Saccharomyces cerevisiae S288C: one gene and its partner. The protein of the gene in region 2 interacts with the protein of the main gene of each other region in a biochemical or structural test. Each region holds a gene or a part of one and is shown on either strand. Other genes may lie near its edges.

What was found. The genes of interacting proteins can lie anywhere in the genome.
Region 1: of the proteins of FPK1 (region 2) and DNF1, one has a biochemical effect on the other in vitro, tested with the Saccharomyces cerevisiae proteins (one study listed by BioGRID).

What each region holds. Positions count from the first base shown.
Region 1 is NC_001137.3:510,194-517,977, reverse strand, and holds DNF1 (aminophospholipid-translocating P4-type ATPase DNF1), read right to left. Parts: upstream 5,235-7,784; coding exon 519-5,234; downstream 1-518. Other genes in the region: PAB1 (polyadenylate-binding protein), read right to left, coding at 5,872-7,605. UniProt on the Saccharomyces cerevisiae protein: Catalytic component of a P4-ATPase flippase complex which catalyzes the hydrolysis of ATP coupled to the transport of glucosylceramide, phosphatidylcholine, phosphatidylethanolamine, and small amounts of phosphatidylserine from the lumenal to the cytosolic leaflet of the cell membrane and ensures the maintenance of asymmetric distribution of phospholipids.
Region 2 is NC_001146.8:706,842-712,588, forward strand, and holds FPK1 (serine/threonine protein kinase FPK1), read left to right. Parts: upstream 1-1,681; coding exon 1,682-4,363; downstream 4,364-5,747. Other genes in the region: PET494 (Pet494p), read left to right, coding at 1-767; RNA methylation protein TRM112, read left to right, coding at 947-1,354; YNR048W (putative aminophospholipid translocase regulatory protein), read left to right, coding at 4,789-5,747. UniProt on the Saccharomyces cerevisiae protein: Flippase activator that phosphorylates DNF1 and DNF2 and which is involved in the generation of phospholipid asymmetry in membranes by the inward translocation of phospholipids and in the retrieval pathway from early endosomes to the trans-Golgi network (TGN).

The DNA of each region.
Region 1 (7,784 bases), on a different chromosome or scaffold from region 2:
AGGCATGAACCTTTTTTCACGCAAATAATAACAATAGGCCTAGGATTTCTATGATATAATAAACTTTCTGTTAGTATAAAAAACTATTTTTGATAAATATAGTCTCTCACCTAGTCAAAAACATACGTATCACGGCTTGATTAATTCTTAACTCTACTTTACAACATTTCAAAAATTCCTTTGATCATGACCTTAATCAATTTTTTTGCCAGTTAGTGGAGAGTTCCCAGCGCTGGAAAGTGCTGGCGTCAGTTTTCCATCGGAAGAAAAAATTAGCCCACCATTGTGCGTCCTTGAATAATAGCGATCCGGGTTAACCGGGAGTGTTAATTATAGAACAAAGAAACCCACACGTCCGCTACTAAAACTTGCTAAAAGAAAGAGTTAACGCTGTAGTATGCATGAATTCCAAGGCTTCTAAGGCTTCTAAGGCTTCTAAGGCTTATCCAGTAATATTATGTAATATTATATATACAGTGAAAAGCGGAGTTCCATCAGCTATGGTTCGGATATCATTATTAATTGTTCTGTTGTGTTCCGATTAAGGAGGCTGCGTTAGTTACGCCTGGTAGATCTAGAGATGTTCTCGCTCTTTCCACAGAGTAGCGGTTATCTAGTTGGTTAGTGGCGATCATCTGTTCTCTTGTGCGGTCCAAGGATGACCTGACGTTGGTTGATGGGCCTCTTCCGAACGTTTGGGCCTGCTGAAATTGGGGCGATTGAAGAAGATCTTGTGTTTCCTTGGGTGAAGTCATCCAGGTTTCTTGCTTCTGATATCCGCTAGGACTTCCATCTTCACCGTGCATGAAAGTCATTGGAATCTCCTCTGTGACAACACTATCCCTTGAATAGTTCGATCCTCCTAAGTTGTCGGAAAGTGCTATGCCTTCTATAATCTTCTCTCCGTGTTGCCCAGCTTTTGTGACCTTGGGTCTGTTGGGATCTGTTGGATCGTAACCAGGAGGATAATGATCGAAATGGCCATGTTGCCACATCTCTCTTACTATTTCCACATCAGTTGGGTAGAAAAATTTTTGAAAACTGTCATATGTGAAACGGGGCAGTAAGCAGAACAGCACGGCAACAAAGAAAACAGCCCAAAATGAAGGTGCTCCATAGATACGCGCTGCAGCTTTGAAAAATTCTCTACTAGCTATCGCAGAAGACCATATTCCCGTCCATGCAAAAACTACGAGGCAAGACAGTGCAATGAATAATCCACTAAACCAATCCCATCTATATTGGTGTAATAAAACATATGTGTTACACGAAATTACAGCAATAGTGGTCACATAAACACCGACAAAATAACGATGATCCAATCCTAACCCATTGCTCGTAACTATCATATTTTTGTGATAAACCAAGTAAGGGAAAAAAAAACAGATAATAGACTGATATAATCCGTCCAACATATACCATAAGAACTTTCTTTGGTTCCATTCTTTCCTTAAAATTCCAACACGGTATAACTGAGGGACCACTAATGATATTGTGTCATTCACGTCCTGGTCCAGAATACCTAAGAAGATGACTGGTAGGGATGTAAATGCCAAATTATAGAACATCATGTATGTGTATTCATACAGGTAAGACCCATCAAAATCATTATAGATACCATACCAGAACAATGCCAAAGCAAAAATCATGTTTTTGTAAAAAAACTCAGGAATCATTTCTGCCAGTCTCTTATAAGACCACCTACCGTGAACGAGGACCAATCTAGCCAAATATCTGAATTGTCCAATGGCGTAGTCTGAGCACATAACAGCTTGTCGACCTTCTTCACCGGCAATACCAATACCAACATCCGCAGATTGAATCATGGCGACGTCGTTGGAACCATCGCCGATGGCTAGTGTCATGACATCTAGAGAATCCTTGACTAACTTAACAACGGCTGCTTTTTGAGATGGAGATACTCTACAGCATAAGACAGCTCTACAATTCTTGCAGAGTAAAAGAAACTTTCTTCTTATATCTTCACCATATAGCGCCAATTTCAAAGCATCACCATCGATAACGATGGCGTAATTACCCTTCGGAAATTCGTGATCCTTTTTAGCTTCAAAAATCTCTTCTTCTGAACCGGTTAAGTTGAAATACTCCTTCAAGTATTTGGAGAGTAAAGCATCCACAATTTCACTTGGTTCTGATCCGAATTCTTTCACGTCATCACCAGTTGTTTTAATAACTAACAATTCCATTTCATTATTCAAAAGGTTGCAAGAAAATCCAATGTTTATAGCTGTTTCAACTTTATCACCCGTAAGAACCCATAATTTAATTCCTGCCTCTGCAAGCAACTCTATACAATCCGGAACACCATCTTGTAAACGATCTTCGATAGCTGTACCGCCCAATAATATCAATTCGCGTTCAATGGAATCTGCAACAACTTCTAATTCATCCTCTCTGTTTGCTAATGATGCAGCAGCAATATCGTACTTTTCGTTCCATTTTTCGTATTCAGACCAACTTAACTCCCTTTGAGCTATGCATAACGTTCTTAAACCTTCAGTAGCGTACTGCTCTAAATGCAAAGCAGTTTTTTCCAAAATAGCTTCACTATTGCTACCACTCTGGCGACTTAATCTTGAGTATATAATGGAATCTGCACCTTTACAAATTAAAAGTGCTCTAGGCTCGTCCCCTGGGTTCAGACCCGGAATTTTGACAATACAGGACATTCTTTTTCTCGATGAATTAAACTCCAAAATATTTAGAATCTCAAATTCTTTTTGAATACCTTGCATTTCAATTATCAACCCTTTTTTGGTTTTTCCAACAAAACTGAATCCTACATCTCTAGCTGTGGCTACTAACGCTGCTTCGTCTGGAGATTGAGCTTTTAAATCCAGTTTTTTTGGATTGTCCGGGTTTGCTTCTACAAGGACGGAGTGACATAAAGCTAATGCTAACATAAAGTGCTCACAGCATCTTTGTTGTACTTCACCACTAGCCCCTTTCAAATCGCGAACGAACTCCTTTGATACAAAGGTAACTTCTTCGGGATAAAATTGTGAATTTCCTGATAAAGCTCTCAGTTCATCGATCATTGTATCCCTATCCTTGGCAATTTCGGCCTTCTCACGCCTACCTTCGGTTTCGACGTCGATACCTTGTCTTTTTCTTAATCCCGCTAACGCTTCGGTGTAAGCTCTTCCATATGAAACACCATTGATAGTACATTTTTTAAACTCCATTACATTTTGAGTTAATGTACCTGTTTTATCAGAAAATATATATTCCACTTGACCTAAATCGTCAGAAATATTCCAGGATTTTGGTGTACAAGGATAATCCAATTTGGCATTGTAGAGTAAAACGTCTCCGTAAATGAAGGCCGCTTGTGCAGTTTTGATGATCTCCACAGAAATGTACAAAGAGATTGGGACTAAAGATTGGTAAAGAATAACAGCAACCCAAAATGAGACGAAACCGTTTGTCGCCGCTGACCCAGCAATTGTTCCAAATTCATAGGAAAACCGTGATCTGCCTTTTTTGTCGTAATATACACCATTTGCAATACCAGAAACAAAACATAAGATGAAAAGTAGCACGAAATTTATCACCACAGAGAAGTTTAGTTCTCTTGAAATCCTGGACTTCTTGGTGGGTGTAATGCCAGAGTTTAACATGATTTTTGTGTCACCACCGGTAAACATTACAACACCCATTGCCCACTTAGTATTTCTAAGAGTGCAACCACGAAGCAGAACGTTATTAATAGTAATTGGCTCATTTCGTATCTCGCCATCTGCAAGATTTCTCCATTTCATATTACCTTGATAAGTGTACAAATTTGAGTGGGGCCCTTCACTTTCGATCCAGAATTTTGTTCTAGCAATATCTTTTGACGTTCTTATAGTATTGGTACACTTCAAGGATTGGCGTACCTTTAAGTTTGTTTCACCATCCAAATTTTTAGTTTCTACGTAGCAGGCACCATCTGTATCCGACGTTGAAAGTAAGATAATGTCAGCAGGGATTTCATCATTGTTATGGATACGAACAATATCACCAACCTTGACACCTTTCCAATAATTCTTGGCAAATTTACAATCAGTTCTGGGTGGTAGGGATCTATCAACTATATTGGCTTCACCGGCCCCTTGTTCCAAATTATCATAATCCAATGAAGGACGGCCATAATCTGCAGATACTCTGTAACTGTCAATGGAGTCTAGAGAGGATCTGGGTCCACTCGTTCCAACAGTTTTTTGTACTCTTAGTTCATGACGCTTTCTCTGCATTCTCTTCTTTTTGCCCTCTTCAGTTAAATGTTCTTTACAATATTGTATAAACTTGAAAAGGAGTCTAGAGTTTGCTTTCTTAAACCTTCTCCACAATGAAATATTATCGGTTGAGACATTTTCGTTCTCAACACCTTCTAAAATATGTGTCTTGGTATTATTCACCTCTAAATCTAGGACGGTTCTTCTTGAGTCTTCAATAGCATCCTTGATCGCAGTGATTATAACAATGACAACTAACGGAACCGCACTTAAACCAGGGTTCGTGACACCAAAAATTTGAAATGCACCTAAAATTATTAAAACTAAGAAATAAACGTTGGCGAAATTATGAAACTGAAATAGAATGTTTTTTGGTAAGAATGTTAACGGGGTATATTTGGTAGTTCTGATTTTATTACGAGGATACTGCATAATGGGGTTGCCTTCTTCATCTATCATATCTTTTGGTAAGGGCATATTGTAATACACAGTCCTTAGTTCTTGCGCACGATTTATGGCACCAGGGTCAATATCATCCTTCGTAAAGTCTTCAAATGGGTTTGGAATGTTCTTCCTAGCCCATTTCAAGGTCTTAGATCTTCCCATTATTGGGTTTCCTTTTTTATTCCTTTTTGTACCCATCCGGAATCTTTTCATACCATCGTAGTTAGTGTGCGGTTCACCACTATCATTGTCTAATTCCACATCATCAAACGTCCCAGATCCATTATTAAGTTTCGGTGTTGGCTGAAAGGAATGATTGTCATATTCTGTGTCATCGTTAAATGTGAATTCTTCTGCATCTTCACGTTTATTTTTGGGTGTTTCATCATTGAAGCTGACCTGTGGCCGGCTGTATTTGTTGCTTGTTGCACCATCATCAAAATGGGTAGGTGCAATATGTGTATCTTCATTACTGCTATTATCTTCAAATTGAAATGTATCTTCAAAGGGCGACATGGGAGCATGCCCATCGCCATGAAAAGTTCCAGACATAATTATCAACTAACTTTCCTTTTTAAAGTTAACTGCGTTTTTATTTCACTTCCAGGAGGAAATAAAGGATTTCTGTTACGGTTGCTTTCCCTTGCTCAACCTCCGGTTAATTTTTGAGTGTTTTTAATTGCGACCCTAAAAATCCACTTAAAACTGTCTGAGTTGCGTATTACGATGACCTTCGGTTATTAAAGGTCAAATTTCATAAAGTAAAAGCTAAGTGAGACTTTGCTCTGTGAAATTTTATCAGCTTTGTACCTCCAGTTAGTTGAATGCGGTGATGAATAGCAAGGTACCCTCACTTGATTTGTCAATTTTTTGTAAATTAGTATTTTCCTGGAACCTGTTGGTCTTTTTTCCGTGCTATTTTGTTTATTTTCCGCGAAAACTAACATTCTGCCGTTAATAATGAGACCTCAAAAAAACGCAACTAATAAACTCAGTAATGAAGTCTAATAATAGTAAAATGATACTTCTCTTGACAGTTAAAAACAAAAAACGTTTGCATTTTGTCAATAAGAGCGAGTATTTAGGTTACAAAGGATAATAACTAGTATTTAAGACAAAAAAAAAAGGGAAGGGAGAAAAAAAAGATGATAAGTTTGTTGAGTAGGGAAGTAGGTGATTACATAGAGCATTAAGCTTGCTCAGTTTGTTGTTCTTGCTCCTTTTTGAAAGACTCATAGGCAGCAGAAGCTTCTTTGTAGTGTTGTTCGAACAATTCATCACTTTCCAACAATGGGAAGACCTCTTGAGGTGGCAAATCCAAAATCATACCAGTAATTTTACCAGCTGCTTCTTCATTTGAAGTCTTAGCAGAAACCTTCTTGTATAATTGTTCACCCAAAGCTTGTCTTTGCTTTTGTTGATAAAATTGGTTGTTATCGTTGGCATTTCTTGGGAAACCACCTTGTGGGGGGACGCCGTAAACCGGACCATTTCTAAATTGAGGTGGCATGCCGTTCTTTGGCATACCGCCCATTGGGTTCATTTGTTGTGGGTTTGGACCGTTGAATGGAACACCTCTTGGTGGCATAACACCATAGAACATTGGAGGCATGAATTGACCTGGCATACCGGCAGCGGCGGCGGCAGCGGCAGCAGTAGCTTGCTGGTATCTCATTTGATTTCTGGCTTGGATTTGTTGAGCCAATTGAGAACGTCTTACGTCTTTTCTTTGAGCAATGGCAACGTATAATGGCTTACCAGCAACAATTTGTTGGTTCTTTTCTGTAATGGCCTTAGTAGCTTCCTCTGGAGTTGAGAAACAAACAAAACCAAAACCCTTAGACTTACCGTTTTCGGTTCTCATAACCTTTGCAGAAGTGATAGTACCATATGGAGCAAATTCTTCTTCCAACTTTTCGTCATCAACGCTGTCATCTAAGTTCTTAACAAACAAATTAACACCTTGGTACTTGGCCATTTTTTCCAATCTGTAAGCTTCGTATTGCTTCTTCAAGACATGCATACGTTCATTCTTCTTTTGGGCACGACCAACGTATAACTTTTCTCCATTTAGTTCAGAGTCATTCAAAGCTTCAACAGCTTTCACAGCGTCTTCATGCTTTTCGTAGTTAACAAACCCGAAACCCTTCAATTTTCCATCAGCATCCTTTTCCAAAGAGGCAGAAACAATTGGACCAAATTTGGCAAACAATTCTTGGAATTGTTCGTCAGTAGTTTCGGAGTTGATGTTTTTCACATAAAGGTTAGTGTAATGTGCCTTAGTCTCTTCCAATTGAGAGTCACGTTCCTTTCTGGACAAGTGAGGAGCAACATAAATTTCTTGACCGTTCAACAGCATACCATTCAAAGCATCAATAGCTTCCTTGGCAGCACCTTCTTCTTCGAAGTGAACAAACCCAAAACCCTTGGATTTTCCGTTTTCGTCGGTGGCAATCTTGCTGGACAAGATGTCACCAAACACAGAGAAAGTGTCATACAAAGCCTTGTTGTCAATATCAGGGTGCAAGTTCTTGATAAAGATGTTACCAGAACCCTTCTTTCTCAATGATGGGTCACGTTGAGACCACATAATACGGCATAATCTACCCTTGATTGGAGTGTAGTTCAATTGCTCAATTGCTTTTCTGCCGGCTTCATGGTCGTTAAAGTTAACATAAGCATAGCCCAAAGAGGTCTTAGTGATGGCATCACGACAGACACGAATGGAGGAGACTGAACCGATTGGAGAGAAGATATCATATAAGTGGGCTTCGGAAACAGAAGGTTCTAAGTCACCAACATATAATGATGCAGAAGAGTTTTCAACAGATTGGCTTTCTGAACCAGTGGCGGCTTGCTTTTGGTCATCTTGAATATTCAAGTTTTCCAATTGTTCAGCTGTCTTATCAGTAATATCAGCCATTTTATTTTTATTGGTTTTTTAGTTTTTTTTGGATTTTTTTTTTTGAGTTTTTATTGAATAAAAAGCCAGATATTAGGTGGTGGTACCAGGGCCTGCTCTATGCTTCAAACGGTTATTAAGTAAAAATGTTACTTCGTAGCTCACTGTCCTAAAAATACAAAATCAAAACTAAAGAATTT
Region 2 (5,747 bases):
AGGTACAAGGTACTCATCGAAGGATAGACGTGTTCTACGACCTGTGGAATAAAAATTTCGATAAGATAGTGACATCACCTGAGAAAGTGCAGAATTTTCAACTGCCGAACTGGTCTAAATACCCAACGATATTGAAATTCATCTGCACAGAACTTCACGACAACAGTTTGAAGACCTTGGGTGAGTTTAAGCAATTCTATGGAAAGGTGCGATCTAACGAGGTAAAAAAACTGTTGGGTCTTTGGCTGTACGACCATTCCTTCCTTTTCCCCCATAATATCTACGACAACAGAACCGAAGAAGATTTTTACGATATATTAATTAATGACTCCATGCAGGATAACAGGATATTCCAGAAATACTCTTCAATTGTAATGAATCCCTACAACGAACGTACTCAACTTTTTTTCCCTAATGTAAATTCTCCATCTGTCAACAAGCCAGTACCGAGCATATCTCTGGAAACATACACACGACTACTCAAGGGATATATCAACTTGCAAGAAACAGGCTGCAAATACGACTATAATGACAATATATTCAAACTAATCAGCATCCTCAAACTAAATTGTTTCCTACAACGCAACAAGAAGAAACACGCAGGGCCAACCGTCAGAATCCTACTGCCGAGAGATGAAGACCGCTCTCAAATACTTGGTACCATTTCGCAGGCAGAGAAGAGAACCTGTTATCAAATTCTAAGCAAAAATAGGGACGTGGTTGCGCTGCTGAAACGCATTTCTGATATCCAGGCGGACTCTTCTTAATAAAACATGTAAATATGTACCTCCCAAATCACACTCATCATCTCATACGAAACTGTATCTTTTTGGGTAAAATTTTCATCGATGAGCTTTAAAAGCAAAACTACTTCACCAGCAATGAAGCTACTGTAGCATCCTATGATCTCTTCGGCTCTACACATCATATTACTAGCCTAGTCAACATGAAGTTCTTAACCACCAACTTCCTAAAGTGCTCCGTTAAAGCCTGTGACACCAGCAACGACAACTTCCCCCTACAGTACGACGGCAGCAAATGCCAATTGGTACAGGATGAATCTATCGAGTTCAATCCAGAATTCCTTCTGAACATAGTCGACCGCGTAGACTGGCCTGCAGTGCTCACGGTTGCTGCCGAATTGGGAAACAACGCCTTACCTCCTACCAAACCATCCTTCCCATCTTCGATCCAGGAGCTCACCGATGACGACATGGCCATCCTTAATGACTTGCATACTTTACTGCTACAGACGTCCATTGCCGAAGGTGAAATGAAGTGTAGGAACTGCGGACATATCTATTACATCAAGAACGGCATTCCAAACTTGCTGTTACCTCCACACCTGGTATAAATCAAGCGAGATCTCTGTGTGTGGGCACGCAAGACGAAAAGACAACTATATACACAGCTATATATGTAGTAGTAGCCTCATATACGTATGGCATCAAACATGTAGCATAAACAACCTAAAAGGAAAACAAAGACTGAGATCTAACCCACCACAGTTTCTATTTGAGCCTTCCCGTCGCGCGTGATTTGGAGATACAGATTCTAAGAGCTTTAAAGAACGAGATACTCTCCTGTTTTAAGGACTCACCGGCATATAAGGCAGCAAAGTCGCCGGTTTGAAGGTTCAGGGGCCTTGAAGGTAGTATCATTTGGAAAACAGCAAGAGAATATGGCTGGACACCATCACGAACATGAACAAGAGCGCGACCACGAGCAAGAACACGAACACGATTCCCTTCAACGGCCTACTACTGGATCAGAAAGGACTAGAAGTATATCCTTTTCGAAGTTGCTTACGCGGTCATGGAAAAGGAATGCGAGTTCATCGAACAACATGAGTGTGTCTAGCGTGAATCTGTATTCGGATCCAGAGAACTCGAGAGAATCAGATCACAATAATAGTGGCTCAGAGGGCCAGTCTTCACGATTTTCTAAATTGAAAAGTATGTTCCAATCCGGCAATAGCAGCAAAAATGCCAGTGCCCATAACAGCAGCCAAAGCAGTCTTGAAGGTGACTCGGCGTCATCTTCATCTAAGTTAAGATACGTTAAACCAATGACTTCTGTTGCCAATGCTTCTCCGGCATCTCCACCACTTTCTCCCACGATCCCGGAAACGGATGTTCTTCAAACACCAAAGATGGTACATATAGATCAACATGAACATGAGCGTGAACACTCGAATTGCGGGTCTCCAATAATGCTTTCATCATCCTCTTTCAGTCCTACTGTTGCCAGGACTGGGACGGGTAGGAGAAGATCACCGTCTACTCCGATAATGCCCAGTCAGAACTCGAATAACTCTAGTAGCACCTCTGCTATCAGACCAAATAATTATCGTCACCATTCAGGATCTCAGGGGTTTTCTTCCAACAATCCATTCAGAGAAAGGGCAGGTACGGTACGCAGTAGTAACCCATATTTTGCATACCAAGGTCTACCAACTCATGCCATGTCTTCTCACGACCTCGATGAAGGATTCCAACCATATGCAAATGGCAGCGGCATTCACTTTTTGTCCACCCCCACCTCGAAGACAAATTCTTTGACAAACACCAAAAATTTAAGTAATTTATCACTAAACGAGATTAAGGAAAATGAAGAAGTGCAAGAATTCAATAACGAGGATTTCTTCTTTCACGATATTCCGAAAGATTTATCGCTCAAAGATACGCTGAATGGCTCACCCAGTAGAGGTAGTTCCAAGAGCCCCACGATTACTCAAACGTTCCCTTCAATCATTGTCGGATTTGACAATGAGTACGAGGAAGATAACAACAATGATAAACATGATGAAAAGGAAGAACAACAAACGACAACCGACAATAAAACGAGAAATCTTTCACCTACCAAACAAAATGGTAAAGCTACCCATCCAAGGATAAAAATACCTTTAAGAAGAGCAGCTTCAGAACCAAACGGGTTGCAACTCGCATCTGCCACATCGCCGACATCTTCTTCAGCAAGGAAAACATCAGGGTCCAGTAATATAAACGACAAAATCCCAGGCCAATCAGTGCCTCCTCCAAACTCATTTTTCCCTCAAGAACCCTCTCCAAAGATTTCTGATTTTCCAGAACCTAGGAGGTCCCGACGTTTGAGAACTAAATCTTTCAGCAATAAATTTCAAGATATCATGGTGGGACCACAGTCTTTTGAGAAAATAAGATTGCTGGGCCAAGGTGATGTAGGTAAAGTTTTCTTAGTAAGAGAGAAAAAGACGAATAGAGTGTATGCTTTGAAAGTCTTGAGTAAAGACGAAATGATAAAAAGAAATAAAATCAAACGTGTTCTGACAGAACAAGAGATTCTTGCCACCAGCAATCATCCCTTCATCGTCACACTATACCATTCGTTCCAATCTGAAGACTATTTGTATCTCTGTATGGAATACTGTATGGGCGGGGAGTTTTTCAGAGCTTTACAAACAAGGAAAACCAAATGTATATGTGAAGACGATGCCAGGTTTTATGCCAGTGAAGTGACAGCAGCACTAGAATATTTACATCTGTTGGGTTTTATCTATAGAGATTTAAAACCAGAGAATATTTTGCTGCATCAATCAGGCCATATCATGCTTTCTGACTTCGACTTGTCTATTCAGGCTAAAGATTCCAAGGTTCCTGTTGTCAAGGGTTCCGCTCAATCAACCCTTGTTGATACCAAAATATGCTCAGATGGGTTTAGAACCAATTCCTTTGTCGGAACTGAAGAATATATTGCCCCTGAAGTCATAAGAGGTAATGGCCACACCGCTGCGGTCGATTGGTGGACGCTAGGGATTTTGATCTATGAAATGTTATTTGGTTTCACTCCATTCAAAGGCGATAACACAAATGAAACTTTTACGAATATTTTGAAAAATGAGGTCAGTTTTCCCAATAACAATGAAATCTCCAGAACTTGTAAGGATTTGATCAAAAAATTACTGACAAAAAATGAATCTAAAAGACTGGGTTGCAAAATGGGCGCTGCCGACGTGAAGAAACACCCCTTTTTCAAGAAAGTCCAATGGTCTTTGCTGAGAAATCAAGAACCGCCTCTGATACCAGTGTTATCTGAGGATGGATATGATTTTGCTAAATTATCATCTAATAAGAAGAGACAGACTAGTCAAGACAGCCATAAACATCTCGATGAGCAAGAGAAAAATATGTTTGAAGAACGAGTTGAATACGACGATGAAGTCTCTGAAGATGATCCATTCCATGACTTCAATTCAATGAGTTTGATGGAACAGGATAACAATTCAATGATTTATGGTAATACCAATTCTTATGGGAAAATTGCATACACTCCAAACTCCAACAGATCGAGGAGTAATAGTCATCGAACCTTTTTTAAGAGATAAAGGGGGCTTTGACGTATAAGTGTCGGTATTTTTTTTTTTTTTATTGATTTTTTTTTCACTCTTATTTTTTCCCTCATTTATTCATCATACATTTAACGAACTCTATTTCTTTTCAAAATCCTTATCTACCTATTTTTTTTTCTTTATTTTCTTTCCTCTGTCAGTTAGTCAGTAGTGTGTAACTTAAATAAATCATATATCGGTGTTTCAATTTCTAGCATTCTGTGTAAACATCAGATGAAGCATTGCCTTTCTTTTCAATGAACTCTATGTAGTTTTTTCGATTTGCTTGCGTACTATTTTTCACGCGATAGTTGAAGAAACGATAGAAGGATGGCGCAATATACAAGTTAAAAGCAAATAGATATCTAATCAATAGTTAACATCTAGAATAAAGTGCTGGAACTTAGATTTTTTTGTGCAATATGGGACTGATATTAAGGTGGAAAGAGAAAAAACAGTTGTCTAGTAAGCAAAATGCTCAAAAATCCAGGAAACCGGCAAACACATCGTTTAGACAACAGCGCCTCAAAGCCTGGCAGCCCATCTTGTCGCCACAGAGCGTACTGCCGTTGCTTATTTTGATGGCATGCGTCTTCGCACCCATTGGTATAGGGCTGGTGGTCAGCACGATAAGTGTCCAAAGACTAGTGGTAAACTACACAGAATGTGATGCATTGGCACCGGCGAAGCATTTTGAAACGATTCCCTCCGAGTACGTGGACTACCACTTCAGTAAGAAAGTCGCAGTCCAACCTCAATGGATGGTACTTACGGATCCTGAATTAGGCAATCAAACTTGTCGAATACAGTTCGAAGTTCCAAATCATATCAAGAAATCTACTTATGTTTATTACCGCCTAACAAATTTCAATCAAAACTATAGAGAATATGTGCAATCTCTTGACCTAGACCAATTAAAAGGAAAAGCATTGATCGGAAATGATCTGGATCCAAACTGTGACCCTTTAAGGACGGTAGAAAATAAGACCATATTCCCCTGTGGATTGATAGCAAATTCGATGTTCAATGATACATTCGGCACAACACTTACTGGTGTAAACGATACTGCAGATTATTTGCTTACCACAAAAGGTATTGCGTGGGACACCGACAGCCACAGATATGGAAAGACCGAATACAATGCATCCGATATCGTACCGCCCCCAAATTGGGCCAAGTTATTTCCCAATGGCTACACTGACGATAACATTCCAGACCTACAAAACTGGGAACAGTTCAAAATATGGATGAGAACTGCTGCATTGCCCAACTTCTATAAGCTAGCAATGAAAAATGAGACCAATGGGTTAGGTAAGGGTATTTACATTGCTGATATAGAACTCAACTACCCAGTAAGATCTTTCTATGGAACAAAATCTTT